2 linked regions of the Medicago truncatula genome follow. The protein of the gene in region 1 interacts with the protein of each later gene in a pairwise test. Links are inferred from orthologs where the notes say so. Each region holds a gene or a part of one and is shown on either strand. Other genes may lie near its edges.

What was found.
Region 2: the proteins of increased DNA methylation 1 (region 1) and increased DNA methylation 2 interact in a two-hybrid assay, tested with the Arabidopsis thaliana proteins (3 studies listed by BioGRID, with this or other methods). The link is inferred for Medicago truncatula from reciprocal best matches to the Arabidopsis thaliana genes ROS4 and AT1G54840.

What each region holds. Positions count from the first base shown.
Region 1 is NC_053043.1:38,460,671-38,478,011, reverse strand, and holds the start of increased DNA methylation 1, read left to right. Parts: upstream 1-8,353; 5' UTR 8,354-8,684; exon of another isoform or gene 8,685-8,926; intron 8,927-9,897; 5' UTR 9,898-10,055; coding exon 10,056-12,746; intron 12,747-13,445; coding exon 13,446-13,569; intron 13,570-14,029; coding exon 14,030-14,112; intron 14,113-15,806; coding exon 15,807-16,048; intron 16,049-16,209; coding exon 16,210-16,296; intron 16,297-16,555; coding exon 16,556-16,655; intron 16,656-17,138; coding exon 17,139-17,331; intron 17,332-17,341. UniProt on the Arabidopsis thaliana protein: Histone H3 acetyltransferase that binds methylated DNA at chromatin sites lacking histone H3K4 di- or trimethylation and catalyzes H3K18 and H3K23 acetylation. Prevents the transcriptional silencing of transgenes and of some endogenous genes.
Region 2 is NC_053042.1:40,655,103-40,671,905, reverse strand, and holds increased DNA methylation 2, read left to right. Parts: upstream 1-9,530; 5' UTR 9,531-9,727; intron 9,728-9,896; 5' UTR 9,897-9,916; coding exon 9,917-10,937; intron 10,938-11,455; coding exon 11,456-11,700; 3' UTR 11,701-11,984; downstream 11,985-16,803. Other genes in the region: root phototropism protein 3, read right to left, coding at 3,306-3,662, 4,123-5,187, 5,467-5,536, 5,634-5,788; nuclear transcription factor Y subunit C-3, read right to left, coding at 15,729-16,499. UniProt on the Arabidopsis thaliana protein: Prevents DNA hypermethylation and transcriptional silencing of transgenes and of some endogenous genes. May act as a molecular chaperone of IDM1, regulating its H3K18 acetylation activity.

The sequences.
Region 1 (17,341 bases):
AATAACACTTATATACATCACAACATATAGCATCATAATAATATCATATAATCAACATCGTAAACAACATCATAACATTATAATCAGTATCATATACAACATCATAACAACATAACAATATAACAATATCATAATCAATATCTTAAACAACATAGCAACATCTTAGTCAACATCATATAATTCACATCATAAACATCGTATAATCTTCATAGGTACTTCTTTAACAACACATGGGTAGAAGACAACTCGACAACTCATAGATGATAATTCATCGACAACTTAACAACTCATGGATGATAATTCATCAACAACGACTTTGACTCGACAAATGCGACAATGCAACTTAGACACTTATATGCATGTGGTACCAATCGTCATCATAAGTATTAATATACTTTAATCGTGCGGAGGACAAAGCTCCTAAACGTGCGGAGGACAAAGCTCCTAATCGTGGTGAGGACAAAGCTCAATGAATGCTAATGCATGGACTCTATCAACAGGACACCTTAATCAACTTATCACTTATACATCCAATAATTTGGAGTTCATCATCAACTTATTCATACTAATAATCGTGCGGAGGACAAAGCTCCTAATATAATTCAATAATATTTCGAGTAATGCATTTAATCATTTAATCACATTACAAACAACTTAGCAGTTCATAACAGCAACAGAAACAACACAAGCAATTCACAACATAACAATATTAATATGAAGTATCAACAACTTAAACATCATACATCTTCCACATAAGTCATATAAATATTTCCCATAACCAACAACAGCAACATAGGCGACACGTAAACATCTCAAGATATAACAATATCAAATGATAATCAACAACAACTCATGCAACTTAGTTTAACAACAATTGCAGCATAATCAATTCATATCAAGCTTAATAACAATTCATTTCAACATCTTGATCATTCAATAATATTTCAAGTAATGCATTTAATCATTAATTCACAATATATAATATTCTCTCATTAATCATATCATCAAAGTAAATCATATTCATCACAACTACAAAATAGTATCAATCAATAATGATAATCATCATATAAAACAATTACAAATGCACGTCATCAACATCTCAATCATAAAACATAATTCATGCAATATATATCTAATTATATAACATTATAAATATCATCAAATCATCTTAATCATTATCTAAGGTCTAAGGACAGTTTCTACATCTTTTTAACAAGTTTCTACCGTTTATTCATTAATTCTTCAATTTTAACCTACTTTTCAATTCCTCAAAAACTCATCCTACATCATGTTAAACCTAACCATTGATTCACATACTTAATAGAATTGCAAAGTTAGTCTCACCCTTACCTTTGGATTGATCGACGAAGGACTCTACCGCTTTCTCTTATCTAAAAGGATATTAAACCGAAGAGGGATTATAGTCTTAAGAACACTTTTAGTTCCGAAGGGACAGAAAGGAGTAGAAAAAGAAGAAAGACTCGTCAACACAAGTCAAAAGAGGGAGAAGAGAAGAAAAGCACAGGAAGTATCAACTGTGAATTTCGGTGTGTAGAATGCACTGTGTGAGTTCTCTATTTATAGAGATAATTTACAACTAATAAGTGAGAAACTTTGGAAACAAGTAATGCACCTATTAGATCTAGTAATTAAATATATCAATTGAGTACCAAAATATATTATATTAAGTACAAAAATATATTAGATTGCCTACCAAAATCTCAATATTCTATTCTAATATATATATATAATATTTATACAACAAATAACAATTATATCTCTATAACAAATATATTTCTATAACATATATATATATATTTCTACACCAAATAAGAAATATATTTCTACACCAGATAACATATATTTCTACACAAAATAACATATATCTCTACACAAATTAACATATATTTCTACAACAAATAACATTTATTTCTATAACAAATCACATTTATTTCTGCAACAAATCATATGTATTTTTATAACAAATAACATTTATATTTCTAAACCAAATAACACACATATATATATATATATATATATATATATATATATATATTTCTAAATGAAATAACATATATATATTTCTAAATCAAATAACATATATATTTCTAAATCAAATAACATTTATATTTCCTAACCAAATAACATATATATATTTCTAATAAATACCAACATATATCATAACAAAATATCACTCATCAAAATAAATCATATAAATCATACAAATCATATAAGTGTATTTTAAACTCATTAAAAATATTCAAATAATTAGAGAGGGTGTTACAGTTAATCCCTTATTTGTCTTCATTTCATGTTAAAGATGATTAGATTATTTTCTTTGGGGTTGATATTATTCATGTTTTTTTTATCTGAAAAGTAAAAATTCTACTCCATCTTTAATAAAAGATTTATGAGTAGCTTCTTAATGATTTGAAGTGCTCTTTTGTTCGACTTGATCAATTGAACATCAACGGTTTTTTTCTCCAAGCAGTTGTGATGGCCACAAATCTGCTGGTGTGGGATACCTGACATATTGCTTATTGGTAACAGGTGTAGTAGATTTTGGTGTGATTTCAGTTATATATGGAGCTAGGAATGTGGCTTGAAGATCCGGAAGAAAGGGGATGACCAAAACAACATGTCCTTGCTTATTTATTCAAATATTGATTATAGATGTTTCATAGAAGCCTATGCATGTAGAGAAGGTCCTGGAAGACCTTTAATGACTCATTAGATTTTACTTTAGCTTATCATTATAATTAGAATTCCTACTGTGTATAAGCTTGGCCTTTTTTTTTTGACTTCTAACAATAATGGAGCATGATGGAATATTTGTTGTAGGAATAAGACAGAAAATAAGCCCCATTAACAACACCGATGAAAAGATTAATTAAGCAAAGGATAACAAAATATATTGTTTTTTAATTACGTTGAGGATACTAAGTGTCACCTTTTTTGCTACTACAGCTTCTTTTGATTCACTATTGTCATATGATTAGTAGAAAACACTAGCAATGGAAAGTTAGTCAATTGATACACAACTAATTAATTGTTAGTTTTTACTGTTATTGTAATTTGTTTGTTTTCATTAATGTTGCATTTCGTCGGAATTGCAAGAGTTTGCGTGGCTTTAATTAGATTCTTATCTTATGCATTCTGTCATTTAATTTCTTTCTATATTAGCGTTATTCTCTTCATACTATGAGATCATTAATTTTCAAAACTCAGGTTATACAAAGTAAAATAGAACTGTAACCAAATGCTTATGCTTATTAGATATAAATATGAAGAAATTGAATTGAAGTATAGTCTGTCTCGAGGAACATATTATAAGATGACATTGCCAATGTTTCACGAACTTGCTATGAAAAGGACATATTTTAGATAACAAAGTCGAAGATAACAATCTTCAACTTAACTTTAATCTGCAATTTCGCAGCAAAAAAAAACTTTAATCCGTCATTTTTCAGCTCTGCGATCAATAGGAACATTGTAAGACTGAGTCATAATAACTCTTTTCATTATATTTAAGATTGAACCTTAAATTATTTGCTTACATCAAACCTGTTAAATATTCTAGCAAACTCAATACTTGAAACTAACAAGACAAGAGGATCATGCTTGATCTTTTAGCCCCATAAGAGATGTAGCTTACAAAAAAAAACATAGTTCAGGTGGTAGTATAAGTTAATAAAAAGAAAAGGATTGGGTTAATTCTGTCACTATTGTAAGTAAGTAGATGCTTTATTATTCTTCTTCTACTCTTTTGTTTATTACTAAGATTTAAGTGGATGATATGTTTATAGCAAATGCACAAGTATGAATGCTTTGCTGCACAATGAATATGATAAATAATATTAACATATTTGATTCTAGAAAAACAATTACTTATAAAGAGAATTAGTTACTGTTTTTGCAATTCTTTCTTTTGGATTATGGTTAATTGTTGTCTATTTTTTTAGTAAGTTGTTGTCTATTTTTATTGAAGAAAATGACGAGTCATGTATAATTTGGTGGAAATAGTTGATATGCCTTTTGAAGTTCTTTCGACTGCTCCAGCATTCTAAATGGTGCTTCTACTCTCTTTCTTCCCACAAAGTTTTACCACACAATTGTTAAGGAGTTGACAACCTCTGATTTTTTTTTTTTTGAAAGAAACCTCTGATGTTGTTTTTGGCAATTTGGTAAGATATATATATTTAATTGGTTTTGTGGAAGATGTCTTGCGGAAGCTGTTTTGGTTTGGTTTTTTGTCAGACTGCATTGCCTGGTGACGAAGCAGAATTAACTGTTGTGGATTACTTGGGTTGTAGTTAAAAATGTGATTTCAAATTCATTCGCGTAAAGGTTATGTCGTGCACTCTTTTTGGTCAGTGGCTACAACTTTGCAATTCACGTAGGTTCGTTGAAGGTGCAACAATTAGTCTTGGTGTTACAGATGCCGGTAACAATAAGATCATATATCCTATGGCTCCTCTAATGTTGGTCCTCCGTACAAAACTGTGTTCACCAACCTGTACTAGTGCAACTGAACCTATTTATCAAGTTGAACAATACTTTTGGACGGAATGAGGATGTTATTTTGCTATTTTTGTATTTTATGATACTGCTTCATCTGGACATGTAATCCAGTTCAGATTGTAGTTTGAGATGTTGTTATTAGTACTTTAAATTTTTATTCTAATTTAATGTTAATATAACCCATGATGAGTATTACATAATGAATGAATGAATCAATTGTTGTGTGGGGTACAAATAAAAGTCTAGACCAAATTGGTACATTAACAATGATAGAAGTTGAATCAACTGCAGTACGATTTTCGAACTAAAAAAATGTCGTCATGATATCACTAATCTAATCAATTTATATCATTTGATAAATTTTGTGTAAAAAAAAACAAAATTCATTTGATAAATTTGACCACAATTTTTTATTACTGTATAACTCATTGATCACTATTTTAGTCAGTAGGATCCGTGCGGCGCACAGGTCATCGATCTAGTTATTTCTAATCCTACTTAGCATTGCAACCCTAGATGGGAAACCCTAACACTACTTATTTGGGCACCAAAACTTATTAGGTTTATTGCACTTAATATTAGCTTATTGCACTTAGCTCTCATCTAATTTGCACACTTCACGGCACGATTTTGAATTTCAAATCATCATATTAATGACAATTTCAACATTTAATTACTTCACACGACTCAAAGAATGCAACATTAATTGTCTAACTCTATAATTGTCTTCGCACACGGCTCAAGGAATGCCTAAATAAATTTTGCAATGATCAAGATGGTTTCATGTCTACTTGTCTGCCACACTATTATAGTGATAGTTTTTTTTTTTTTTCCTTTTCTATAAAAAAACGATTTTGTTGATTATTTTTTTTTTAAGAAAAAAGAAATTAATCATATAAAGAAGAAAAAAGAAATTACTCAAGTAGGTTGTTTTTTTATTTCGTCCCAAAAAATAAAAGTGGGTTGTTTATTTGGCAAGTGTGATATTTATCATTCAATAAGACATGTTAGATAATATACATTTTCTATTAATTATTAGTAGTAAGAATAAATTATTATTATTATTTGTGTAATTTTCTTATTTAAATATTCGTCAATTTTTCTCATCTATTAATAAAATATTTTTATTGTTTAGTTATACAGATTTTAAATAATTTCAGACTTTTGGAGAATACGTAGTACTAAAGAGAAAAAGATATAATGTTGATTTTCAGACTTTTTTCATTCCCAATAGTAAAAGTATACACATTGAGGTAGATGAATAAGTTAAGAGTTACCAATGGTCAAATTTTAAGTTTCAATGCAAGTAGATTAATGGTTATCGTTGGATGCATGTTGATTAAACAGTGACTGTATGAAAGGATGTCTTGTGCTCTTGGCTTCCTTTTCCGTGAGCCTCCTTTCATTTTTGTTTCTCAATGCACCATGAGACTATTTTTCTACTATTTCCATTTGCAATTTCTTCTTCTTTTGTTGTTGTTAACTTTAACTTTTTCTGCTCGTCGTAACATGCTTCAGATCATGATACATAGGTGTTGAGTCGGATGATGGATAGTTGAACCATCAAGGTGCAGCGGCGAGTGAGTGGCAAATGGGCGAGTGGATGATGTGTTGATCCTTACCATTGCTTTCAATTATTCTATATAAGATTCTCACCAAAGACAAAATCAAAGGTTATTTTCAATTTTACGAAACTGTACTACTCCCTCCGTTTTTTTTATAAGCAAAATTGATCATTTCACACTTTTTAAGGAATGTGGTCATTGTTATTTAATTTAAGCTAAAATGTCTAATTTGCCGTCATGGCAATTCTTGTTTCCCAACCGTATTCATGTTCTTTCATTAAATAAAGTGCCTAATTTTACATTTTTCATGTTCTTTCATTAAAGAATGACGTTGTTCAATACACCAGAGAATTCAATTGTACTCTTCCACTTCCCAAACATATGTTCATCTTTGGCGCAAATTTTTTCAAGACCTGCTTCCATTTTATTAAAATTTTGGCGGTACAAAATTTGGCAAACTATTTCATCTAAAATTTCTAGTCACTTTGATTTCTATAAATTGAAGGTAAAAAATGCTGAAAATTGGAGCTTCACATTGCTAATTCAAGATGACTCTTGATATTGATTTGAACATCCCTTTGAATGACTTAACACATCTAACCATCTCTTAAATGGGCCTCTCAATATTGATTTGAACATCTCTTTGGATGAGTTAAACACTTCTAACCACCTCTCAAATGTGTCTCTTAATATTGATTTGAACATTCCTTTGAATGATTTGAGCACCTCTAATCACCTCTCAAATGTACCTTTAGAGATTGGTTTGAACACCCCTTGCAGTGGTTTGGACACTTCTAATTTAAATGCTACTTATTCAAGCACTGGTTTATTTGACTATCTAACAGATGAAGAATATATTGGAATTGAGTATGAAGAAGATGTCGCTTAACTTTTTCACAATAACATTGAGGAAGATATGGGTATATGACGTTTTATTTTATTTTATGAATATGTGTTGTATTTAAGTGTGTTTTGCATTTGTCTTTATTATATTGTGCCACCTTTTGCACTCATTATACTCCACATTTTATATGAACTGCATGCATAAGGAGTACACGTTTTGATGCAATATGGTTACATCTAGTAATTCATTTTATGTAATTTTATTTACTTTACCTTGTTATTCTTTTTTTTTTCAATCAATATGTTTATATTTGTTTTATCTATGACATGCTACTACTCCCTGTCAAAGTGTCAATGGCTTTTAATTTTTTGTATCAATCACATGCTACTACTACTGTCAAAGTGCCAATCGCAAATTTTTATTTTTATTTTATATTTAATGAAACAGGAAACAACATTCATAGTGAGCCACAATCTAAAAGAAAGCATACTTTTTTTAACAACTATCAACGGCAAACCATTTCGGAGGTTTTGGTCAATTTAAGTTGTGGTAGAAAAATTAATAAGGGAGTTGTTAAACGGTTTCTTCTTCTTATCAAGTATCAGTGGATGTTATTTATTCGATTTGGAGGCAAACGAATGAAACATGTAATGTTTGTCACAAGAACTCCACAGTTAAGCGTGTTTGACTTGGAGCAATTTTGGGATGGGTGATCTACTGGGAAGTTTTCCGGTAAGCGTGCGAGTGAGGACAAAACACGCTGAAAAGACTCGTGTTGGTTTGTGGGGTCAGTCGGCAATCCTGAAAGCAGTCTGGGATGTTACAAATCTTGTTTTCGGTAGCTCATTCCAAAAGAACTCCACAGTTAAGCATGCTTGACTTGGAGCAATTTTGGGATAGGTGACCTACCGGAAAGTTTTCCGGTAAGCGTGCGAGTGAGGACAAAACACGCTGAAAAAACTCGTGTTGGTTTGTGGGGTCAGTCGGCAATCCTAAAAGCAGTCTGGGTACACTCTCCTACACAAAGCTGGTTAATAGCCATGAGCACACCTCGCCAAATTAAGTTGTCATTTGTTGGAATAAGATTACATAGAAGCCTCCACACAAAGAGACAAACTTTGAGATGGATCTCTTTATACCAAATGAGATGATAATTGATCCATTTGTTTACTGAATCACGTGACGTGTAATTATTGGTCCAGGTGACACACAATTAATTTTGTTTATTTTTTTTACAAAAATTTAACAAAAATACCAATTACAATTTTTTTACAAGTTCCAGACCGATATCAAACAAAAAAAATGCATAATTAATGCCAAAATATTTTTTTTGACAAATAGTTAATGCCAAAATAAAAGTGCATACTATTACATATTTAAGCCTAATCTAAACATTTGCCGCAAAAATTATGATGGATCTCTTCTCTTCACCTCATACAAGGAAGTACTACAAAAAAGAAAGTAGAAAACATAATAGTTTTAGTCCCCTTAATCGGTGGGACCCACTTTGTCCATTTTCATTGCACAACACAATCTCAATGAGTGTTTGTATAGTTGCTTCATCTAAAAGGGTTCTCAAAAAAAGTGCCACAAATAGACAAATCCAAATGCTAGTCACATGGGAAGAAAGGATATGGTTCTAGAGAGAGAAACTGTGAAAAAGGGTTTTCTAGAGAGAGAAAAAAGTTTGTTTGTTTTCTGCTTTGGAATTCGTTGTAGCATTGTTGGGTGATTTCGAAAAGCTATCTTTTGAGGTGGGGTTGTTGCAAAATTTGCAATTTGTTTCTTCTATGTTCAGATTTTGGGAAATTTTGAGAAACCCTAATTTTGGTGGGTGAAGTGTTTTGTGGATTTAGATTTCTTGAGAATCTGAGTTGAGTTGGGTAGGATTGGATCTGTGAAAATAGTGAGGTTTTCGCTTTGAATTTTGTTGATTTTTTCGTTAATTTCTAGAGCTGCTGGTTTTTCTTCATTGCATGTGGATTTGGAGAAACTGGTGTGTGTTTGTGTTCTATCATGTTTTTAAGTTGTATTTGTTTAATTTGAAGTTTTGGTGTGTTTGTGTAATCAATGTTCTTCAATTTTTAGCTTGTGAAGTTTGATGGTAACTTTTTTTGAATTATGATTTCTGTTTGTTGCATCTGAGTTATGATTTTCAAGCTAAATTTTGCATGTTTATATGATTTTTGTTGTTTATTGCTAAATGAATGCATGAAGATTTATCAATGTTGGCTTGTTAATTGTGCAGAAAATGTTATTTAGTAGCTGTTGTTGATAGGAACCAAACAGATTGAAATATAAAGTGAATTAAAGGAGATTATTCCTACAACTAGATGTTGTTTGTTACTGTTAAATATAGTTAGAGTTTGTTAAATGTAGTTACAAGTTAGTTAGGTTAGTATTAATTACAAATTAGTTAAAGTTTGTTAGTTTAGTTATCCATGATTCTCTACAGTTATAGGTAAACCAACAAATACAGAAACGAAAACTTAAAGAAATAAATGGAGAACGGAGCAATGCTCCTTACATGATAAAAAACATGAATGAAAATTGGGAATGGAAGATAATATCAATTCTTAGAGAGAGCCAGCCTCTCTTAAGAAGAGTATGCAAAGTAGCACTTATCCTAGATTTGTAGACTGCATTGGGATAAATGCGAACCTTTCTATATTGAAAAGCACCATTTCATGTAAAATAATATATCTCTTATCCCCTCTCTCTAAACTAATTTTGGAAAGAACGTGTTAATTGTGGGAAGTGTATGATGATATTGCTTTGCATGGACTTTTAGTTCAATGAATGCATTAATGGCGATAGTTCTATAAGTCTGAATTTATCTTATTCTGAAACCAACAATTTCCTTATTTAGGTGTTTAAATGCATAAATTGTGAAATTAAGAAATTATATTCTTATGTAGATTCTCAGGTTTACGACGTGATTTTATTTGTGTTTACTTGGGTTTGCAGAAATGAAGTTCGTCAACTAGGGCATTTTGGCTGAAGAAACATGTTACTTCATGAATTTGTTTACAGTATGCAGGAGCTAGCCATTTATAATGGTGGGGTGGCAACAGGTAGACCAGTAATAGAAGCTGTGAAGTGAAACTGCACTAGTCAGCAACAAAATGGAACATTTATGTGATGATAACTTTGAAGGATCTAATGAAGAAAGACAGATTTTTACAGAGGTCTTTTTTGGTGATGACACTTTTCAGTCTAATCAGAGGCGTGTTATTTCTGGAGCCATCAACCTTGAACATGAATCCACGAAAAACACATTTAAGTCATTTGGCTCTAGTAATGAAAACTCGGTCATATGGCGTCCCTCATCTTCAAGATTTATCCATCCCGAGGAGGACATTAATGCAATTCAGCATTCCAATGAGACTGCTCTGGGATGTTTGCCAGAGAGTTTAACTTGTGAAGATCAGAATGATGAGAATGTAAATGTCAAACGTATGAAATTTTCTCTGCACGAACTTCCTTGTAGTAGATCTAATTCAGATGTTTTGGGTTCATCTGGAATTCCAAAAGTAGTAATTTCCAACCTGACTTGTGCTGCTACAGACTGTGATAGTGACTCGATTGCATTTCGTACAGTTGAATCTTCTAAACACGGTGTGATATCTAGTTGCTATCTATTGAAGCATAACTTGGTACAGAAAATTCATGCTTCTAATGACGATGCAGATGTTACAAATTGTAAATCTAAAACAGAAGATGGGAACATCCCAAAGGAGGTGTCTGTAAGTAAGTCAGTTGCTTCTCCTGTATCCCAGGAGAGCTCGGCAAGCAGGCTAGTAGTAACGAGTCCATCAATCACTGTTGTGAAGAAGTCCGAGTCTCCCTTAAGAACTGAGGAAATGCCTGAAGGGTTTCAATCTTCTAATATGGTTATCTCAAATTCATTGTCCCAGCTGGACCAAGAGGATCCCCGTCCCTTACTGCAGTTTCATATCGTGCAGTTGCTTACGATGTCAGGATGGTCTATTGGGAAGCATCAACGGCCTTCTAGACGGTGGATGGAGTCATTCTACAAGACACCAAAGGGAAAAATTATGCGGGAATTTACAAAAGTTTGGAGATTATGTGGCCAACTTTTGTCTGTTGAAAAGTGCAATGTAACATATGGAGGCCGTAAAGAATGGACCAATATTAGCGATTTTTGGTCCGATCTATCGAGTGCACTGAAAAATGTTGAAAAATTAAAAAACCAGCCAGAGACCGCTGCTATGTTGGCTTATCAATGGTGGATTATGGATCCTTTTGTAGTAGTTATACATTTTGATAGAAAGGTCGGTGCTCTGAAAAGGGGAGAAGAGGTTATAAAAGCAAGCTGTAGTTTAGTTTCTAGTAAGGGTAAAATGGCATATTCTTCAAAAAAAAAGGGTAAAATGGCATATGCTCCAGTTGATTCAGCCTTGGAGAATACGTCTCACACTCTTTCTGAACAAAAGCACGACCAAGCCATTTTCTGCGACTCTTCAACAGCCACCAGAACCACAGAAATATCTGCTTTTATGATAAACAGTCATGCTTGTAAACAGACATCCGACGGTAACCAAGAAGATATGTATGTCGAAGAACATAAACCAAACATCATAGAAAACCGATTAATGGAAATGTCAGTGAGCAAAAGTAGTATGGATCTAGCCTCTTTACCTGCTTGTGCATTGGGTAGCACTGTTACCCATTCAAGTGCTTCCTCTTTTGATGTTCTTACAAGCTCTGGAAATTTGGACTTGGAATCTAAAGTAAATGCTGTTCATCAAGCTAAACTTAGAAATTCTAAAAGCTCTGATAAGCACGCATCAGAAAATCGGTCCGAATGCAGTGAGGAAGAGGGGAGGAAAATCTCAATGGCTTCTGTTTTTGGGAAAGATAGTACATGGTCTTCCTCTAATGGTATTCTTAAAAAGAAAATGCGGAAGAAGTGCAAAAGGATATCTCAGATCAAACCGAGTATGTTACACCACAGTGACATACTGGGATCAACTGTTACTGATCAGGTGCAGTCACTGAATGGTGATGTATGTGGCACTCAGACTGTGTTGGAAGAAGTTCAAGATTATGTAGTTGACAGTGTGGGAAAAAAAAAGAACAAGAAGAAGTTATCAGGCAGTGCAAACCAGCGACATATTAAGAAAACAAACTACTCTACTACTAAAACAAATAAGTCCAATAGATGCCATATTGAAGATGACGATCTATTAGTGTCAGCAATACTCAAGAATAAGGACTTCAACCCAAAGATAATGCGAGGTAAATCTAGAGCTAAATCCGGCAAATCAAGGGGTTTGAGAAAGCTTAAAAGCCATAAAGGCCGTTGCAGGTTGCTTCCAAGGAATCCTTGTAATGGAGGGAAGCACAATATGGATGGGAAGAAGTATTATCTTGGGGAAAGGACTCTCTTGTCCTGGTTGATTGAGAATGAGGTCATATGTTTAAATGACATCATTCAATACCGAAACTCTAAAGATAATTCTGTCACTAAGGATGGCAAGATCACCAAAGACGGTATTGTTTGTAAGTGTTGCGGTAAGGTGCTTACATTATCAGAGTTCAAGATTCATGCTGGGTTTACACTGAGTCGCCCTTGCTTGAATCTTTTCATGAAGTCTGGTGAGCCCTTTACACTTTGCCTCCTTCAAGCTTGGTCAGCTGAATACAAAGCCAGGAAAAGTCAAAATCAAGCTGGGAACATTGTTGATAATGACAGAAATGATGATTCGTGCGGGTTGTGTGGTGAGGGAGGTGAGCTGATATGCTGTGATAACTGTCCATCTACTTTTCACCTGGCTTGTTTGTCCGCTCAGGTCAGTTGCACTCGGTTTATCATTTTCTTCTGTTCTAATATTTTTCTTCTGTTCATGCCTTGTCATTGCTGATAAATTGTTTTATTTATTTATTTTGGGAATTCAAACCTGCTATTGAGTGGTTGGTTTAACATTCTCTTGTACCATTCTCACATATACACACACCTTTACAATAGCAAAACACTTGTAGTTCTGTCCCTTCCTGCGCGAAACCCTGGAGATAGTTAATTTTTCTGCTTTCTAATTGGGAATGTTTATTTTGACTTTGCTGATTGCTAGCAAATATTGTTGCAATTAAAATTTTCCATCATAGGCCATATCGCTTGAAGAACATGATTGAATCATTATCAAGGGTAAAGTTTCTCTGTATGATATACTATATTTTGCTTGCTTTTTACGAGCCAATACAAACGAACTGTCAAACATTATGCTATGTTGGCTGTGATTTGATGAGTAGGTTCCATGAGTATATTCTCTCTCTTGATATAGACCTGTGGGCATGAATGAATTGCTATGTATTACCAACACATGCACATCTCTATCTACGTCGCTCTAATACGCCTACTTCTTTTTATTCCATGCATTCAAATATCAATTAAGTCTATTTTGTATTTTTTGTATTCTTATGGATGTGACTATTGTTGGGTTTCTCTTACCCTGCCTCAGAAGAATGACACATTTTTTGTTTCTGTACATCAGGAGATCCCCGATGGCAACTGGTACTGCATAAACTGCACTTGTCGGATTTGTGGAAATTTGGTCATTGATAAAGAGGTTTCAGATGCACATGATTCATCGCAATGTTCACAATGCGAACATAAATGTAAGTTTGACCTTCATGTTCACGTTGCATAATAGATTGCATGGTTTGAACTTTAAATATCTTCATAGAGCTTGTAGATTGATATCAAGTTGAGTTATACCATATAAATTTGTCTTTTGTGTTTGATCTTATTTAGAATTATAATAATGCTAATGGCTGAACAATTTGTTGGTTCAGTTATTTTTTTTTTTTTTGGAATAAACAAAACGGTTCAAATATTGTTGGTGCTGTTGTTGTTGTTGTTTCTGCATAAAGGTTGCATATGTTTGACTCCTCAAAATCTACAGTTATTGGTGCTTCATGTGCTTAGCTTGACTCATTACAATTTATTATAATAAATGATCAGTTAATTTGATTATGGATAATAATTTTTTACTTACTTGAAAGTTCATGCACTGTTTTGACTTTCTGATGCTTCAATAATGATACCATTTGATTATGACGGATTTGTAATGAATAGATCACAAGAAATGCCTCGGAGAAAGAGATAAACAAGAAGGAGCTGTTTCAGACACTTGGTTTTGTAGTCAAAGTTGTCGGGAGGTACTATACTACAATTTCTCAAATTTCCATACTTCCATTTGTATTGAGTTTCTTGAATATGGAATATGGAAAATTATGTCTTATTGCCTGTGACATATTGTATGACTGTGCAATGGCTTGTTATGACTTAGTAATTTAACTATATATAAATTGCAGATCGTATTCAATACTTTTTGAAGGTTATGTTTGGTTTATGTTTTGAAAGTACTTGTAGGTTTCTGGCATGTCAAATGTTGATATTTTGATCAAAGTTCTTTTAATGTAGCAAGTATAGCTCCAAAAGGTTGCTTTTTAGATAAACAAGTTTAAAATAAAAAATTTAGAATGTTGTCTTTGATATGAATAACTTGAGTATGATTTTCTAGTTATATCATTCTTATTTTTTATTTTTTTTAACTAAAGTGTGCGGTAACAATAGGTAACTAAAATAGCCATATATCGTGAGTAGAACGACTTTGGCAAGTTTTAATTGCCGTATTTTATTCTAACTATTACATGCTTTGTTTTAAAGAGAAGTCAAAACCTTTTTACTGACACGTAAAAGGATAAATTTTGATTCTTCTCATTATTTTTAAAGATTGTAATTATTTCTACACGTGTCATAAATTGATTGTCCCCAAAGCTTAGGCAGTGGGTATCAACGACCCTCACACGAGAGCTCTTTTGGCTTGAAGTGTGGACAAATGCACTGGCCCATTCTACTTTTCTACTGTGTGCTGAAAGTCACTTTTTTTATTAGAATGAGGGCATGGCAAGGATCAAATTTTTTAATTACTCTGCCGTAGAGCCTCTAATATCATGTTGTTTGAGCTGTTATGTGAAAGATCATAAATGGTTTTATATAAGGATGGAAGAGTCTATTACTTGTCACATTAGCTTCTATCTCTATCTTTTGGCATAGTTGCTTTTGTTACATACCACTGGTGTTTATGCTTGTCTTATAAAATATTTGTCTATGCATTCACACCTTTAAGAGGTATTCGCTTGGTGGAATAAGGAGCAGATAATTAGATTTACCTGTGAATAAGCATGGATACTTAATGTAGCACTTCGGTTAATAGGTAATCAGTATCAAAGCTAGTCACTGGCTGCTTGAAAAAGGTTAACTAGGGAAGGGCTGACCGGAAAGGCCGAGTTAAGAGTCGTAGAGTGCAGCCACTGAGATGCAGGCTCTCAGAGGCAGTGCTACGATAGGAACTTGGTTATTATGGTGTGCCCAAATCCCACATCAAGTTGTATGAGATAATCGTTAAGAGTATTTAAGTGGCTTGGTTGCTCCCTCTCGATAGCTAGCTTTCAAGGGAGGATTCCCCAAGTCCTTGGATACTCATCAGTATGATGGGTAGCATTATTCCCTTTGTTCCAATTTTTTCCTTCTGTTTTATTAGAATAATATTATTAAACAACGTTGGTTTTTTATTTCACCGTAAGGCTTGTCAGGAGTTTCAAGTTTACAGTTAGGGAAAGAGAAAATCAGGGACAACAGATGGCTTATATTATAATATTGATATGATTTGAAGTAAACCTAACCTAGAATGCGGTTAATAACTAGATCAGGTGCTAGTACTACAGCTATTAGCCGTAGCGTACTAACTTCGAGACAAACTAATAACATAGTAAAATGTTATTTTATTATCCGAACATCATCTCATTGGTGTTATTTAATCAAGGACTTGACTTTTTGGTATGTGCAGGTATACTGTACTCTTCAATCTCAGGTTGGGCTAGTTAATCAAGTTGCTGATGGCTTCGACTGGACGCTTCTTAGATGCATACATGATGACCAGAAGGTTCATTCTGCTCAGTGGTTTGCCCTAAAGGCAGTATGCAATACAAAATTAGCTGTTGCCCTTACAATCATGGAGGAGTGTTTCGTGTCAATGTTAGATCTAAGAACAGGCATCCACATGATACCCCAAGTTTTATTCAATTGGGGGTTAGTGGTTCTTCCCATGACAATTTTTCCACCTCTTCTTTGTACTTCATCATTTAAATGTCCAAATAATACCCCGTCTCTTATGCTCTATTTCAAAGCCTCAACTTTAGGATTTTGTCTTGTCTTGATTTGTAAGGCTTTAACTTCCATGTGGTTTTCAGGTCTGATTTTGCTCGTCTGAATTTTCAAGGGTTTTACACAGTGGTGTTGGAAAAACAGGATGTGTTAATATCTGTAGCATCCATCAGGTGAAAACAAAACACACACACATGTGCTATTGATGATATAATTCAATGTACTTAAGTTCTTCTGACATTTATGAAAATGGTTCTATTTCAGCTACTTTTTTTATTATGTAAAGACAATTATCTAAATGCTTTTCAGTTATGCTCAAGCTTACCCTTCCAGTAGATTTATGAATGAATTGAGTTATAGTCACATTTTGTTCTATTTGAAATAGCATCTCTGTTTTATTGGGTTGTTCTCAAGCCTTTTACTTATTTGCAGAGTGCACGGGACTACCGTTGCAGAGATGCCTCTAATTGCAACTTGCAGTCGGTATCGTCGCCAAGGAATGTGCCGACGCCTCGTGAGCTCAATCGAAGAGGTAAATCTGGCTGTAATTTCATGTTTATCCAAAATTATTCAAACAGAACAGATATAAAATATTGTTTCAGTTTCACCCCAGTTGGATCAACACTCCCTTTGTTCATAAGAATAATTATTCTTTGAAATTTGATATGGATTTGCACTTGGTGACTTTCTTTTTATATAAGAGTAATATAGCAGTGCACTTTCTGTTACTGGGCAAAATTGCGCGGGTCTCATTAAACAGGGAGAGGGATGGTTCACATGATTTAGTGATACCCATTTAAATTTCACTTAATGATATTTTTTGTTGCTGATAAGAGCGTGTTAGTAGAGAACATGATAAATTTTTGTTGCTGATAAGAGCGTGTTAGTAGAGAAAATATTGCTAATTATTGCGCTGTGTATAAACAGCTATGAATTTGTAATATTCCTGCATTTGCTTCTTTTGGCTTTCTCTCATGGCCTTCCATGTTTCTAAATTCATTTCTTTCATTAGCAGATGTTAATATCTGTCAAGGTAGAAAAGCTTGTGGTATCAGCCATTCCGGATTTGGTGGAGACTTGGACCAAGGGCTTTGGATTCGTGCCTGTAGGCGACACTGAAAAACGAAGGTTAAAGAAAAACAACTTAATGGTTTTTCCTGGAACAGTGTTACTTGAAAAATCCTTGTATGGCAAGAAGAAAGATGAAGGTATTTTCAT
Region 2 (16,803 bases), on another chromosome or scaffold:
ATAAGTAAGACTTATTAGTAATTAAATAATTAAATATGACTTTATTATTTAATTTACGAAAAATAGAGAAATGCGGTCCACCATAAGGTACAATCTGTTTAAGTGAAATATGGTGCACTGTAAGGTACGGTGTACTAAAGTGCTTGGCTTGCTGACCACACAAGTGATTCTATAAATAGAACCCTTGTGTTGAAGCATGACAGACTTCTTGTGAGTGCTTAACCTAATTCACAAAAGTTGTGAAACCCTAGCCGCAACTTGATTTGGTCCATTGGACTAATCAAGTGTTAGGCCCAATTAACAAATAAGTGGTGTAGCCCATAGAAAGTTCTAGAGTGGTGTAGAGCTAGATTGGTAGGATGTATAAATAGTATTAAATGCATGTAGTTGAGAGAAGTGTGTAGAAAGTTTCCTATGATGTGTCTAGAACTCTCCCTTGCAACCTATAAAAAGGGGAGATCTTATCATTTGGAAACCAAGCAAGCAAACAAGAATCAAAGTATCATTTCAAGTAGCATATATAATTATTCTCTCAAATATTCTCTCCTCCTAAATTCCTCATAAAGTTCTCGCTATAACCTTATCCTTTTCCAACAAAACATGTGTAATGCAGAGGCAAAGCTAACCGCCCAAAGCACCATAAAGAACTTTGGACAATAGCACCCTCCAGCTTGGTTCTGGCGAGTGAGCCACTTTTGAATGTAACGAGTCATCATATAGCAAATCATTGAGATGAAAGACAAAGTGTCATTGATAAATGACACTTTCTCTTTTTAGTATTTGAAGAAGGGGGAATTGCTGAATGAATGCCTCCATAATAAGTGTTGCACCGATAATGATATGTCGTGTTTTCATCTGATGTTCCTAAGGCATGATATCAACTTACCCTTCATGCACAGTTAGGGCATCACCAACCATCAACCGATCTGTGATCGGTGCCAGAGCCGTAGAACGATCGATAATTACCGGAGCGGAGGTGGTGGTTGTGAGAATTGAGGCGACTTCTACCTGTAGAACCACCATTTCGGTCGACGCGGCTTTTGAAGACATGATGACGCGGTGGTGGAAATGTTTAACAAGAAGTGGCGAAGATTGGTGGTAGTGCGTGTTGAGAACAGTGAGAGAGACAAAAGAGTATTGAGTGGAATTTTGTATTCTGATGCTCAACCAAATCCTTTTGTTGAGTTGTATTTAAGGTAAAGAGAAAAGAACTTCAGTTATATTCATCACTTTAAAATTCGAAGTGATTAGTAAAAGAACTTCAATTATATATGACATTTTAAGATTCAAAGTGATTAGGAAAAGAACTTCAATTATATATGGCAATTTAAGGTTCGAAGTGATTAGGAAAAGAACTTCAATTATACATGGCATATTAAGATTCGAAGCAGGGCCGGACTAATGTATTTTTAGGCCTAAAATGAAACTTAAATAGAGACATTTTAAGTGTGTCAGAGAGAATAAGACAAACATAAGAAAAAAATTCCATAAGTTCCCTCAATCGAAAATAATTTTATACGACGTGGTCAGACAATATTTAAATATGAGTATTTTGTCAGCTATAAATCAAACTTTGGTTTGTCACATCGTAAGAGTATATCCTTTTTCGCTATAATCAACTTCGTATGTGTGTGTGTGTGTGTGCAAGTTAGTGCGCGCACGTGCGTGTTGAAAATAATATTTAATATAGACATTATTTACCAATTGTTAGAGATCTTAAAATAAAAAAATAATATTAAAATGATACAAATGTAAATTAGTATTTTACGTTTACAAACTTTGATTACACACTACTCGTCTGAATATATTTAGAACAACCGACATTGAATTAGATTAATAGGAATCTGAAGGCAAAAAGAATTTAAAGTTCAAATAACCAATAAAATAGCTAGCATTCACAAAGTTATGGTGCAAATTTTGTCCAAACAAAGTTTTGGAGATCAATGGCTACATATGTTAAAAAGAGTACGTGGAAGTGGAATGACATTGTCCCTATGTTCACTTTTGCATCAAAATTACCATCCTGCCATGACATTGTATGTCTCATCTTCCTCACGCCGTAAGAGTTAACTCACGTTGGTGTAAGGAACGTGATTTAACTCACGCTGACTTAAGTCATGTGCCGAGCGTGACTTAAGTCACGCTGGGTTATATACTTGCGTCAGTTAACTCACGCGGGGGTATTTTGCGTCAGTTAAAATAATGATATGTCATGTTTCCTAATGCATGATATCAACTTACCCTTCATGCACGATTAGGGCATCACCAACTGTCAACCGATCTGGGATCGGTGCCGGAGCCCTAGAACGGTCGATAATTATTGGGATGGAGGTGGTGATGGTGAGAATTGAGGCGGCTTCCATCTGCAAAACCATCATTTCGGTCACGGAGGCTTCTGAAGGCATGATGACAAAGAAGTGGTGGGAGATAGGTGGGAGTGTGTGTTGACAAAAAAGTGGTGGGAGATAGGTGGGAGTGTGTGTTGATAAACAAGTTTTGAGTTGTATTTAAGGTAGAGATCAGAGAGAGAGAGAGAGAATAACTTCAATTATGCATGCACTAGCTTTAAGATTCCAAGTGATTTCGATAATATATGGCCCTAGCTTTAAGATTAGGAAAAGAAAGGCACCTTACTATATTCACATGTTTCAAAAACATTAGTCTCTTTGTTGCACACTGATCGTTTAGACTTTTAAATGGCAAAATGTCAATTCATGAACAAGCTAGCTCTTAGTCTTTAAAGCATTTTCAAAAATAACCCGAGAAACCTGTCGTTGAATATTTTTCCACGACTCCATGTCATCGATCATTGTCGTTCAATCAGATCTAGCTAACAGTATTCATCTCAACAAGACAACGATACACTCACTATCTTAGTTGTAAGTATGAAAAAAATCTTGAGTTTTTATTTCTAAATAATATAGTCGATCGTCGTTGAAATTTCTGATTGATTTTAATTACTAGTCAACGGTGGATCACCTATGTTATCAACATATATGTTTTTCTCACCATATGTCCGAAGTAGCATGTCGATCCAAAAAAACGTACATTTCCTTACTTGGCTGAAAAAGTATCCAAAAACTAAGATATTTTACTAACAAAACGATCAATATAATTTTTGACGCGAGAGAAGTGCTAGCAAGACCAAAAGCGTATTTTATTGCCAATCCTCTTCAACATTCACAGAAGGATGAGAGGACACCCTATGCTAGTTTTCTTTCATTTTGAACTAACCGGTTTCAACGAGGCTGATAAATACATCCATCAAAGAAAAGCTCTATATGTTAAGGTGTTTGTACATAACTTCAACGAGTGGATAACTTCAAATGCTTTTGAAGCTTCATTTTGCAAGTATTTAGTTCCAGCAGTTGTGACTTCATCATCTCAACATCTTTTCTCATTACTTTTATCTCCTGATTCATCTGTCTCTTTTCAAAATCTTTGCTTATCCTGATGCTTGTCTTACTCCTATGGTAATTTGATCCTTTACTTGCCATTGTCCATGACATGTTCACTTGTTCTAAAAGGACAAATCCTGTTGATAATTTCATGGGCAACCTATCATTTTTCATCACATGCTGACGCGCTTCTTGTGACAATCTATGGTATTCCAATACATTACACACATTTTCTCCATCTTCTTCTGTCAAATATGGATGTGCCTGCAAAATTGAGTTAAGTTTTAAGTTTTCAGATTTCAACAACCATATAATCATAGAGACAAATGCAAGACAATATGGACCATTCAATTAAATAGTTAACTAAACATCCGCAGTCCACACAAATAGAACTTGAAGTACTCATATAGCAATGATATAATCAAAGTTTTATTAATGCATGTTTAGAAGACCATGAGTTTTGCAGAATCATGGTGTGCCACCACGGTGTCATTGAGATATTGCCAAACTAATTGTTGATCCAAACATGCACTTAAAAAAAGGTTTGCGACTTTTACTTGGGTCACAACATTATAGATTTTTATGTTGCCAAACTGCTGCACAACCACGATTGAGGTGGATCAGCCGCATTTGACTGTGATTGTACGCAATATCAAAGATCAAAACTCGAATATGACTGTGATTTAAAACTTCGGGAATAAATTATATAATATTAGTATATTACCTTAAGGTACATGTCAATAGCTCTATAGAGATTGTCATCACTATCTCTAGCATTTTGTGGCAATACTTCAACAAGCAATTTGAAACTTTCCACTGTGAGCTTCTGATCCCTTGCAACTTGTGATAGATAACCATCCACCAACCTTCCAACAATGTGAACTTTTGCAGCAGAATTACTTGAAATGCCAAGAACATAAGATTGTAACACTTTAACAACAACATCAACATCATACAAAGAATCTTTATCTCCTTGATTCTTAACCAAAAGATCTTGAACACAACACTGCTCCAAAATCAAAACCACTCTTGTCTCTAGCTCACACAACAACTCATGATTGATTTTCAACATCATACCTGCCTTCAACAGGTGAAGCAAAAAATTGCAAGAGACAGAATTTTCTTCAGTTGGAAGCATTTTAATCAAACACTCGGTTGAAACTTTATGTAACTGAATTGGCATGTGTTTCTGTGTCACATTTGGATCAATTCCAAGTGTGACTTTAGAGAACCATTTTTTAGTCCAATTTTCTATACATGAACCTACAAACTCTGATTTCATTCCACGTTTTTTGACAGATTGAATCGCTTCAATAAAATGATCTATACGTAGAAGTGATACATCTTCAAACCACCAACAAGCATCAACTTTGATTTCAAGTTTTGGAATTACACATGCTTTCCAAGCTATTGCTTCTGAGCAACGTTTCACTAATTGTAACTCCTTGGCCCAATGGGAAATTGATTCACAACTTTTGAGTATACGAAATGTGTCTTTCCATGAAGATAACATTAGAAATGTGAGAAAGGATTCTGTTTTGGAAATTAGATTTTCTTGTTCAATATCTTCACTCATTTCTAAGAAATTTGCAGCACAATATAATGAAGCTATGTTGGATGATGTCATGTCGAATTTCCAACCGTAACAGAATTTGACAACTAACTCAAATGTTTTTCTACCACCTGGAAGATTGTCTATTTGGATAGTATGATTATTGTCTTCTATGTTGTTACTTCTCCTTTTGAAGACAAGCCTATTCAAATATTCACTTCTTGAGACCATGGCAAGCTGGAAAATCAATGAATTAATCATTAATTTATAGTTAAAAATATGAACAATATTACATGTTATGATATGTTTGAAATTAGGAACATGAGGTACTTATTGGTGTGAATGAGTAATGTAAAAACAGAGAAAAGAGTAAATAAGTAGATTTAACATGTTATATAACTAAAAGCAATGGCCAATGGTGATATATAACTAAATTAAGATCAGATACATAGCACACATTTTGATACACATGTTATGATAAAAAAAATGATATATATCTTATAATAAAAGGTCCACCTTATGCAAGTGAAAGCTGGAATCACCAACTTGTATGATTAAATCATTAGTAGAACTTGCCCTGGCAATCCTGCATCAAGAAAATGAGACATCTAAGTATTTATCTTCCGCAAAAACGTATATATATTATTCAATTATGACATGTTTGGGAGGTTAAAAATGTTTACCAGTTTTGATTTTTCCGTTTTAAGGAATCAGCAACTATAGGAACATTAGCTGGTAGAACAACGCATCGGTTACGCTTTCCTCCACTCAAGACATTTTCACAGTCAAGAATTTTCATGGTTACTTTATCAACACCAGGAAACTCAAACTTGTTCATATAATAATATTTCTTAGAAAAGGTTTTAGTGGTGAATATTATTTAGATAGAAATTGAATTGAATACTATATATAGACAGAAAAAGTGGTCCATCTTTTAGATAGTATGATGAATATTAATGTAGTTGTGGCCTACTGAGTAACTTTGTACATAGCGTTTGTGGCATGGAAGAGGGTTTGTTGCCTATTTCCATTATGCGTCATGTCAGTGTAGTTATTGGAATTAATATGGAGAATTTGAGAGTAGACAGATGGATGCAAGAATACCCTAGCAGATAGTCAATATTACATTCTTTCTCATCCACATAGTGGTAGTACCACGCATTTCCAACCAGATCGCCTTCATCAATTAAGGTGTTTCCAAAGTTGTACCAAAGTAATAACTCATCCCACCTTGCTAATCAAAACTGATTCTAGCCATATGATTTTGTGGTCAGGAAACTTTCTGTTGCAATAAATTTTTTACTAAAAAAGATTCCATTATTTGCTTAAATGCATAATCTGTGTTTGGATGGTGAAAGAAATTGGAAAAGACACAAAGTGCCAACTATTTTGCCTTGTTATTTCTTAAGAGTAATCCTGGTTAGTGTTTTAGTTCAAGCATGAGTGATTAACTATGAATGACTTAAATGTTAGATTTAGAAGAGAAACAACTCATATTCATGCCTTAAAATTTTGGTTTGAGATATGTTCTAATCTCTTGTTGGTCTTGACATACTTGTTTCATTAGTGTCATATTATTTTGTTAGGATATTTGATATCCAAATGTCACAATCAATCAACAGAGATTGAGATCAAATGGTTGAGATTTCTCAGTTTAAATTAGCAAAATCAAAATATGCTGCATTTACTTCATCATTAATTTAAGATCAAACGGTTGAGATTACATAGTGAATTTTACACAATTAAATAATTTATACATTGATCCATATCGGACGGCCAAGAACCATGTATGTCATTGTCAACCAACAACAAGTAGAATCCAAATTCAAAAAAGTATATGGGATTAAATAATGAATGTGTAAAAGCAAACACCTTTCTTGATTTCTTCTTGCTCTAGCTAACGGTCACAAAGCACAACACAAGCAAACAATGGCGAAACTGAAACCCTGCATTTCCACAACCCAATCCCTTCATTCAATTCCAAATCACACTCTTCCAATTCCAATCTCCAAATTCAACATCAATTTTCATCTCCTCAAACCCAAATCCGTCGCCATTTCGCAATCCCATCAAACTCTAACAAACCTACAAATCGTCTGCGCTAGAAGACCACAATGGCCCCTATCGTCGAATCGAAAATTGCTTCAACTAGTTTCCACACTCGCATTCAATCTCAAGATCTTGCCAGAACCCTTTAATTCCCTCGTCCGCGAAATCGCACAAACCAATTCGAATGAACATCGGATTGTGAACCGTCTCATCAGTGGCTGGAGTAGGAAAACAAACAAATCGAGCAAGAGGAGGAATGAGCAGATGTTTTTGTTGCCATTGTTTGTGTTGATATGTGTTGCGGGTTTCTGGGCGTTTAGGGTTTCAGAATTGGACCTGTTTCTGAAGTCATTGTTCTTTTGTTTTGTTGGGGTTTCTTCAATTTCATTGTTAAGAAATAAAGTCATAAAGGATTGGTTTTTAGGGTTTTTCTTGGGGGCTGTTTTGATGATGAGTTTCAGATTGGGAAAAGAGGATGTGAAATTTTGGGTTGAGAAGTTTAGGACTTGTTCTCCTGTTGCACAAATTGCATTGAAGAATAGAAATAGAAAATGGAAAGTATCAAAATGAGAGCCATGGTTATTTTGTTTTTTTTACTACACCACTATTGTTTGATTCAATTCAATCACTCTTGAAAGATTGTTCTGTGTAATTGTTGATTCTTGTATACTCCATTGTGTATTACTGAATGATGGTGATTTAAAATTGATGCAACATTGTTCTCAATGTGTTAGCAAAGTGTAAAACTACAATGTTGCTAATGCTAGGCCTGTTTAGTGGTCACTATTAAGAATAAATCCTCCTTGAGCAACATTAGTGACCTGCTTGTAGATTTCATAGTAGCATTTTTTTCTGATCAATAGATTCAGAGTAATATCATCCTTATTAATTATTGCATCAGATACATTACTGACAAGTTTGCTTAATTAATGAGACGAAGTTTGATACTGTATGCTTGTGTATAAAGGAAAAAGCTCAAGTGGTTAATGAGTTTTACGAAGGACGTATCATTCGGTTTGATTTGATTAGGGGGCTCATTTCCGCTAGAAACCGGAGGGTTGATACACAACAAAACTTGGCATAAAGTTAAATTAAGGCTTAGATGTTAGTATCATGTTAACCTGTAGAAGAGAACAATGGTTGAGAAGAGAAAAACACGAGTTTGAACCTTTTTGAGAGAAGAAAATTGATGAGTTATGGGTGATTTCATCATCAAATGCAGATGAGAATAAATTGGGGTGATTTCCTACAAGAGGAATAAAATCGTTAGACCAACAATATACTACATTGTCAAATAGCTAAAGGTGTGATTCGGAGCAAATTGAGAAAGATGTTGGTGTGAGAAAATCTCCCCATGTTCCGGTATCCCACAAAATTGCTTTTACATTGTTATTTAGATTTAACTTTTGCTATTATTATCTCTGCATACCTGATTTTTTTAACGACAAATGTTGGTATGTAATAACTTAAAGACCTGGGAACATTTTTTTTTTTTGGGTTTCTCATATGTTTCATTCATTTGAGGCGTGTTTGATACTAAATATGGGTACCTCTCTCAACTGAGATTTGAACTTTGGCTTGCTATGTTGTCGGAGGTCTAGTCCATTCTGAAGGACCCAAACTCATTGCTAGTTATATATTGCATAAGTGTTCTGGACTGGACAAAGACCCAATCTGATTACTAATTAGGCCGAAATAGACGACCTCCGCTCAAGAGACCGCTCAAGCCTACACCAGCATTCCATGGCCAAATCAGGACCCTTTGATCTCCGTCATACGGTGATACATGGTTTGCATTGCTTTTGTTGCAACCGCCTAACCATTTTAGGTCTTTGAGCTCGGTCCACGCCGTCTTTTGTTGCTACCTCACTCATTTGAACCTTTTAAATTTCTCAAACCCTTACTCGATTGAGCATTAGAGTCCTTACAGATACATCACCCCCTCTGGTGAATCAAAGTCGTCTTTCACTGCATCTCAGCCGCTCCCTTTGTCGTCAACGAGTCTTCTCAAGATCAATAATAAAGAATATTTCATGATAAATAAGTTTATGCATGTTTTTTTAACAAACCATCAATTTAAGCCCTAAACTACCGCTCTCTCTTCAATGTAGTCTCTAAACTATAAAAATATACTAAATAGACCCTATATTATAAAATGTCAATGTAGTCCTTACATTCATATATATTTTCAGTTTAGAGATTAAATTGATTAGAGATATTTTTGGGTGTAAACCGGGTATCCTCCGCGTGCAACTGCAGAGACTAATCCCTCGAGCATTGTGGAACCCAAATGGGCGGCAGACACTCCCTAAGAGTTTTAACGCTACTGTATGCCCAAGGCTGAATTCGAATCAGGATCTTGGTTAGAGATTGATAGTTCGTAGACGAAATTGACAAAAATACTTGATTTAATTATCCCCTTTGGCAATTAAGAAATACCATTAACTAAGATGATGTATCACAAGTCTTACTCTTTTTCTATTTCAAAAGAAAAAAAGTCTTACTCTCTTTCTATGTAAATGTAACGCACGCTTTGTATCATAGCCCAATAGCTCCGAAGCCCAAGGTAAGCCTCATAGCATCACCAACATACCATTAACACTACCAGACGGTGCTCTATTTCACCTTCACAAATCCCCTGTTCGGAGCCAAACAGCTTCTCTAATTTCTCATTCTTAATTCTCACTGCATGCATGCGATTCATAATTCTTCAAACCTCACATCACATGTAAGTATCTCTCTCTCTACACTCTTCCGTTCCTATTTTTTCGCCACTCTTCAACAATGTCACTGTTACTTAATTTCTTCAACTCTAAACAAACACCATATACCTTCAATTTAATTCAATATTTCCATTTACATTACTATTTCATTCATTTTCATTATTTTTCTTGCAGAATCATGGTTTTAGTGTGACATGTCTAAGTCTCAAAATAGAATGGAACAACCTAACCAATATCAAACAACCTTAGCACTATTAGAACCCAAACCCAAAAACCTAAATTCCAATAACCTTAATGATGATCAATGTTTTCTCCTTTACTTCATTATGGGAACGTACTTTGGTCCTGATATCAATGGTGACAAAAAATCAGTGTTACAGATAGTAGCTGAAGGATTACCTTCATACACACGTGAGCAATTAACAAATTCTTATATGAAAGTATCTGAATTGGAACGAATTTACTATTATATACTTAGGAATGTTGATAAATCATTAACGGTAAAGTTAACCTTTTTGCGCCGGTTCATTCAAGGGCTGGAAGGTTCCTCCAATTGCAATTACCCTCAGTTTACTGATTTGTTCCCACTTGAATTACACCCTCAGTCTATGTTCAAAGGTAATAGGTTTAAGATCATTGAAAATATTGTGTTTATTGATAACCCGGAAGTGTTTTTCTTCAGTCAAGAGGATATTGAAAGGTTCAAGAGATTGAGTGGATTGGAGGATTTTGTTGTGGACAAAGATGTTGCTAGATTATATAATTGTATGGATGGTAGTGGTTTGCGTAATAAGTCAGTTGTGAAGGTTGAGCATAAAAAAATTATCCCATTGCCTTTGCCTGAGCTTCAATCTTCTAGTAGGAAAACTAGTTCTCGAAAAGTGACTGAAAGTGATGATTTTTCTGATCTTAAGTACCAACTGCCACATGCCCATGCTGTGACCCCTATTAGCTGTGTGCCGTTTAATGGTGGTATGGGTCTTGATGGTGAAGGTGATTCTGTTAAAGTTGGTGCTCCGGCTGCGTTATTCCTTCCTTCTCGTCCTACTAAGAAGGAATGGTCTAACATTGTGGCTGCTACCAACAGTGGTTTTGCATTGACAGGAAGTGCGGCTATGGGGCAGATTGGTCCCATTATGGGACTTGTGGACATTGGAGAGTGTGAAGACTCTTACCTATTTCGTATGTCTCTCCCTGGTGTGAAGAGGGATGATAGTAAGTTTCTTTTTAAATCTTATTAAGTCACTTGATTGCTATTTATTTAGTTCTATGTTCTAATCTTCTATGCTATAAGTGCCTCTATTTTAGGAATGTCTAGTTCATGTTTGGGTTCTACATTACACTGCTTTGAGAATTATGTTAATGAAATAAAATTATCTAAAGCTGAAAAGGTTTGTATATTCTATGTATACGATGATGTGGCCATATGACTTCAAATGACAACTATGTTGATTTGATATTTCTCCTTATGGCATGCCCTTACACTACAAAATTGGAAAAGGAGAAAAAGAATTAAAACTAACAAAGAAACAAGGAAAGAAGGCAATTGCATCTGTTGTTTGATGTTTTGGCAATGTACAATGGTTCTGAGTACTATAACCAGATCTTGATCATCGTTAAACATTATGTTGTTATGATGGGTTGGCAAGTCTTTCAATCACTTCTGCAGCAGCATAGTGTGTTAAAGAGATCTTAATATGTTAAATCAATGAACTTTGAATTTATGATTGCAGAGGAATTCAGCTGCGAGGTTGACACAGATGGCAAAGTATTTATTCAGGGAATAACCACAACAGGAGAGAAGACTGTATCAATGCGCACTCAGGTATTTGAAATGCAAACTCAAAACCTCTGCCCAGCAGGCCAATTCTCAATCACATTTCAGCTACCAGGCCCTGTAGATCCTCATCAATTCTCAGGTAATTTTGGTACTGATGGGATTCTTGAAGGAATAGTTGTGAAAAGAAAACCTAGGTGATGGCGAGGCTATATGCTATTAGAATCCCTCTATTAATTCCACTTGGTACTAAGTTGATGCAAATGTCAAAAAAAAATGTGGTTTTGATTAGCAGTATTATGTACAGTGTCTATCTTAATGTTAGTTATTTTTTGAGATTCAGTGTTATACATGCTCAGAACTCTCTCTGACATTCTCTTTATGTAGAAGAAAAGAAGTGGTCACGACATGGCTAATTAATCCATTTTGTGGACATGTAAGAATGCTTCACTGATGAATATAGTATATTATTTTGAGAGGAGTAATTTTAAGTCAATGTACAACTTGTCTCTATTTACTTTGGTTATTTTCAGTTAGAATATCTTTTTCATTTTTTGTGGTGGCTTATGAGTGCCACATAAATGCACAATTCTATGATCCGCCATTATTATCTGGGAGAGATTTCATACTGAAGTGTTTATAAGTTTGTTTAAGATGTAATATGCCAAAATAATTTCACATTTTATTTTCATCTCTATCAAGCTTTGGGTCAAAGTTGTACCCAACCTTCCTTAAGGGTGGAGTTTCCTTGGAGTCCCTATCAATCATCTGCAGCTAGAGGTCAGCTGTTGGATTCATACAAATGCTGACAGTCTATTGTTTATGACCTCTGTCTAAAGAAGCCGTGTTTACTGCAATGGATCCTGTCAGATTTTCTGAGATTAAGTTTACTTTGACATTTTCCAGATTTTATTTTTTTTACTTAAACCCATCATCACTCAACTAGTAAGATTCTGTTCCTACCCTTATGGACTTCCCTCACATTCCCTATCCTTGGATGGACAGAGACTGATAGGTCGTTAACAAATTACTGTCTTATATTATAGTTTTTAGTTGCTCTCAAGGGTCTCACAGCCTTATTCTTTAATGATGTTGTATGCCCCCTCATGCCCATATTAGTTAAAGTTCATTTTGTGGTTATGTTTCCCTTCTTGCACCAATGGCCTTTTAAAAATAAATAATTATCCTATGCGCAAATGCGAAGACTAATTCTTCAAAGCAAGTGAGATTCATTTAAGGGTTGATATTTCCTAACATATGTTTTTCCATATATATTGGCCAAAGATCGAACCTCCAACAAAATGGTTAACCATATTGGCAAATGGTGAGAAAAATGACCATTTTTTCCTCAAAATAATTTGAATATCTACCAAAATAGGAATAAAATGCGAGTAAAATAAAAGGTACGCCAAAGGAATAGTTTCATAATCTGCTCACCTCAAATTTTATTTTTATTACTCGTTAGTGAAATCGTGTATGAGTTGATTCCTTGGTAATATTTGAACATTTGTGATTTTCCGTTAATAATTTAAGTGTGGTGGTTGTGTTGAAATTAGGTACACCAATTTTCGATCATCTATGTGTATCCATGACCATGAGACTTAAGTGCCACGCTCAACTAAAAATGCTGGTTATTTTTTTCTTTACAAGAAAATGTAACCTACATTTGTTATTTTTTGAAGTAGGAAAGAAGGATATAATATTTTTTGAAGTAGTATAAAATGCCACAAGAATATTTTCATAATCAATCAAGAAGAGGATAGAAAGATAAAGAGGTCAACTATAAACATAAGCCCCAAGGAGAAGTGTGCATCTACTGGCCACCAATGTACCAGTCATTTTCAAGATTGCACCTTAATGTGGTCAACTGTTTGTGAGAAATCATGGCCCAAGTCGAGAACATCACCCTCTAACAACCCAAATTGTCAAATTAGAGCCAACTCCATCCATTTTTTCCCATTTTTTCCAATAAGTAACAAAAACCCAAAACAAATGGATATTCCCCTGCATATCAATCACCACCCCCAAACCATCTACAAACCTCATACCACACTAAGATCTTACACTTAATAATTAAGTGTAATTCACTTTCCTTAACTCAGAATTAGAGAACACATGGATATCGATATTATCATCAACTACCCTCCTTTAGAATAAATTTCTCCTAGTTTCCTTCCGACAACAAATCATTAACGGCAAATATATCTCTTCTCTGCAAAAGATAGAGCGACTGAAGATAGACTCTTCTCGCACAAATTCCCTCCACCGAGAGAGATTCCACTTCCACACACCCTAATCATGTTGGGACATTGCAAAAAAAAAAAAAACCTTGAAAATACCTTTTTGAGGGACAAGGTACCTTGCCATGCACCATCTAAAAAGAAAACTTATGTTAAGAAGTATAAGATCTTTCACCCATAATTCTCCCTCTATTTTAGGAGAAATTCTATCTTGAACACAAACTCAAATCAAATTTATTTGGACACACATTCACAAATGAAAAAATGTAAAAGAGAATAGATTTAAATGATGTGACTAAATACTTTCTCTTTAAATTTTTTACATTTGTGTGTGCGCCCAAATAAATTTGATTTGGGTTTGTGCCCATCTAAGAATTGCTCCTATTTTAGACCTACACACATGACCACTTAAGCAATTTTAGACCAACTCGAGGAACCACCCCAAAGCAAACATTCTTTGAAATTCAGCAACCATTTTCTACACCTTAATCAGCATTTTCAAATAAGATAGATAGAAAATAGGAATACTAGCAAGCGCCAAATTAATGAGGAGAATTCAATCACCAAGCATAACAAAGCCAAGTTGACATACTCATAGGATAGAATTTGCTTCTATTGGGAGGCCAAGATAAAATGAAATAGCCCCAACTCGATAGTGAAAGAACCACCGACATATTAAGGATTCATCAACATTCCTCGACATTATTTTCTTACTACCCTTGTAAAATAGAAAAACTAGATGGGAATAAATAAGTATAGCTCTCAATATTTGATATTTGACTGGTAAATTAAGCTTTTAGTTAACATCGGTAATTTGTTATTGTTTATTATTAAACGGAAAATGTTAGTATTGGTTGTATTTTGTTGAAGAGATCAAACCCTCAACTTCTAAATCACTTCACTCCTTTAACTCCCTCGCCTCAATCACCTAACCAATCTTATATCCCCCAATAATTCTATAATGTAATTGTTCATTAAAGAAGTGAACAAAATATGTTTTCATTGCATATAAGCTATTAGCTACACTCTATCATCACTAAGGATCATAACCAATCCCGACCGTTCAATATGACATCCTTAAGTCCGCAACTGATGATGGTTGTGAATCAGCAGTAGTCTGCATAGTGCATCTAAAAGCGTAGGCAATATCAGACAAACAATGAACTACGATAGATACCAGTACAAGAAAAGGCCTCAATCATTTCAGCTGGTCAAATAAAACACCCTTTGGATGAAACCCACCGGGGCTCATTTATAAAAGAGCAGAAAAGAAATGACAAAAGGGCATCTTGTGCATAATTATCGCACAGTAGCTTGATTAACTAGTAATAATCTGAAAAGAAAGTGATGAATTTGTGTATATATTAGAAAGTAATAAAGTGGAAAACTCAATGGATCTAGGATAAGCTTTTTTTTTTTTTTTTGGCGAAAAAGTATATACTAATTAGTCTATTTCACTGCATTGTCACAACCCATCTCAATGTGAAACAAAACAGTTCCATATTCAATCCACAAGAGGACACAAACGGGGAAAGGAAAGATATAAATACTCAATTATAATAACATAGACTTCCTCATGTTCAGTGTGTTCTCAACCATATTAGACACCTAATATAACAGCACATGCTTCCACACAACATAAAAAATTATTATATTACTTCTAATAATGCAAGATCAGATTGGAACCACTACTGCTATATCACAATACAGCATGCGATTGACACCTGTACTTAGAAACATCTTGTGCTAATAAGTGATGAATCATCATAAACCATACTTGGTTATTCATCTGTAAATTTCTAATACAGTAACATTAAGTTCCATTAGGAAAAATGACATTGAAATTTAAAAGCTGCAGAATTAAGTTTTACTATGATGTATGGAAATGGTCAGTAGTACAATATAAAACTTCAACTTTCAATCCTTGTAAAAACTAATTTATTGCACCAAAGTTCACCTTACTAACCATAACACTTCCATAATAAGAATCTAATGATCTGAAGGCGATTGTTGTTGCTCCGGTGGTTGGGGCCACATTTGAGGTGCCATGTACGGATGAGACTGTGGAGCATACATGTTTGGATTATGCATCATGAGACCAGGATTTCCAGCTTGCTGTGCATTTTGAGGTGGCATATAGCAATAAGGAATTCCATCAGCAGGCCCTCCAACAGGCATTGGTCCTCTTGGTATCGATGCAAGCACTTCATCTTTCAAGTCCTCCCGAGGCACAATGTCAACCAAGAAATCAAAGATATCAGTTCCTGTGATTGCTGCTGCAATGTCATTCTTTTGAAGGGTTCGCCTTTTGTTCTCTTCAGTGTGATTCCAAGAACGCAAGGTTAACTCCAATATGAACATTTCACACGCCCTTGCAAATACAACAGGCGCCTCAGCTGATATCATCTTCACATCCTCATCAGCCTTCATAATCTTCTTGATCCTTGCCAAGGGAAGGCTGTGGTTTTTGAAATCAGTTACCTTCTCGATTTCTTGATACTGATTTCCCCAAAAGGTCTGGAGTTGTTGTTGCTGCTGCTGCTGTTGCTGCTGATGAATGTGCTGATAAGCAAGCTGATGTTGTCCCAGCTGAGTTCCATCTGGTTGACCACCAGGTTGAATAGTCCCAACAGAGGGAACAACCATCCCAGGTGACCCAGTCATAGGGTTTGGCTGGTATGGATTAGAACCATATGGGGCCATTTGTCCACTACCAACAACACCCATATTTGGGTTTTGGCCATGACCTTGATGATCCATTCTGTTTCAAGTGAAATCAAATAAATCAATTCCTACACTTCACATGGGGCCAAAACAAAACAACAATATGCACATAGTAACAACAATTACACGTGAACAAAAGGGGAAATCACAAAAGCAGTTAGAACGCTATAGCATACCAGGACTTGAACAAAAACTTTATTGTTTCCAATACACTTTAGTACAAAGTTATGTCATAGTTTATTGCGTAGCGGAATTTGAACAAACATCTATTTTTGCAGTCCGCAATCGACACCAGTAGCGGAGCTGCGATTTGAACACTATAGCATACCAAACTCGAACA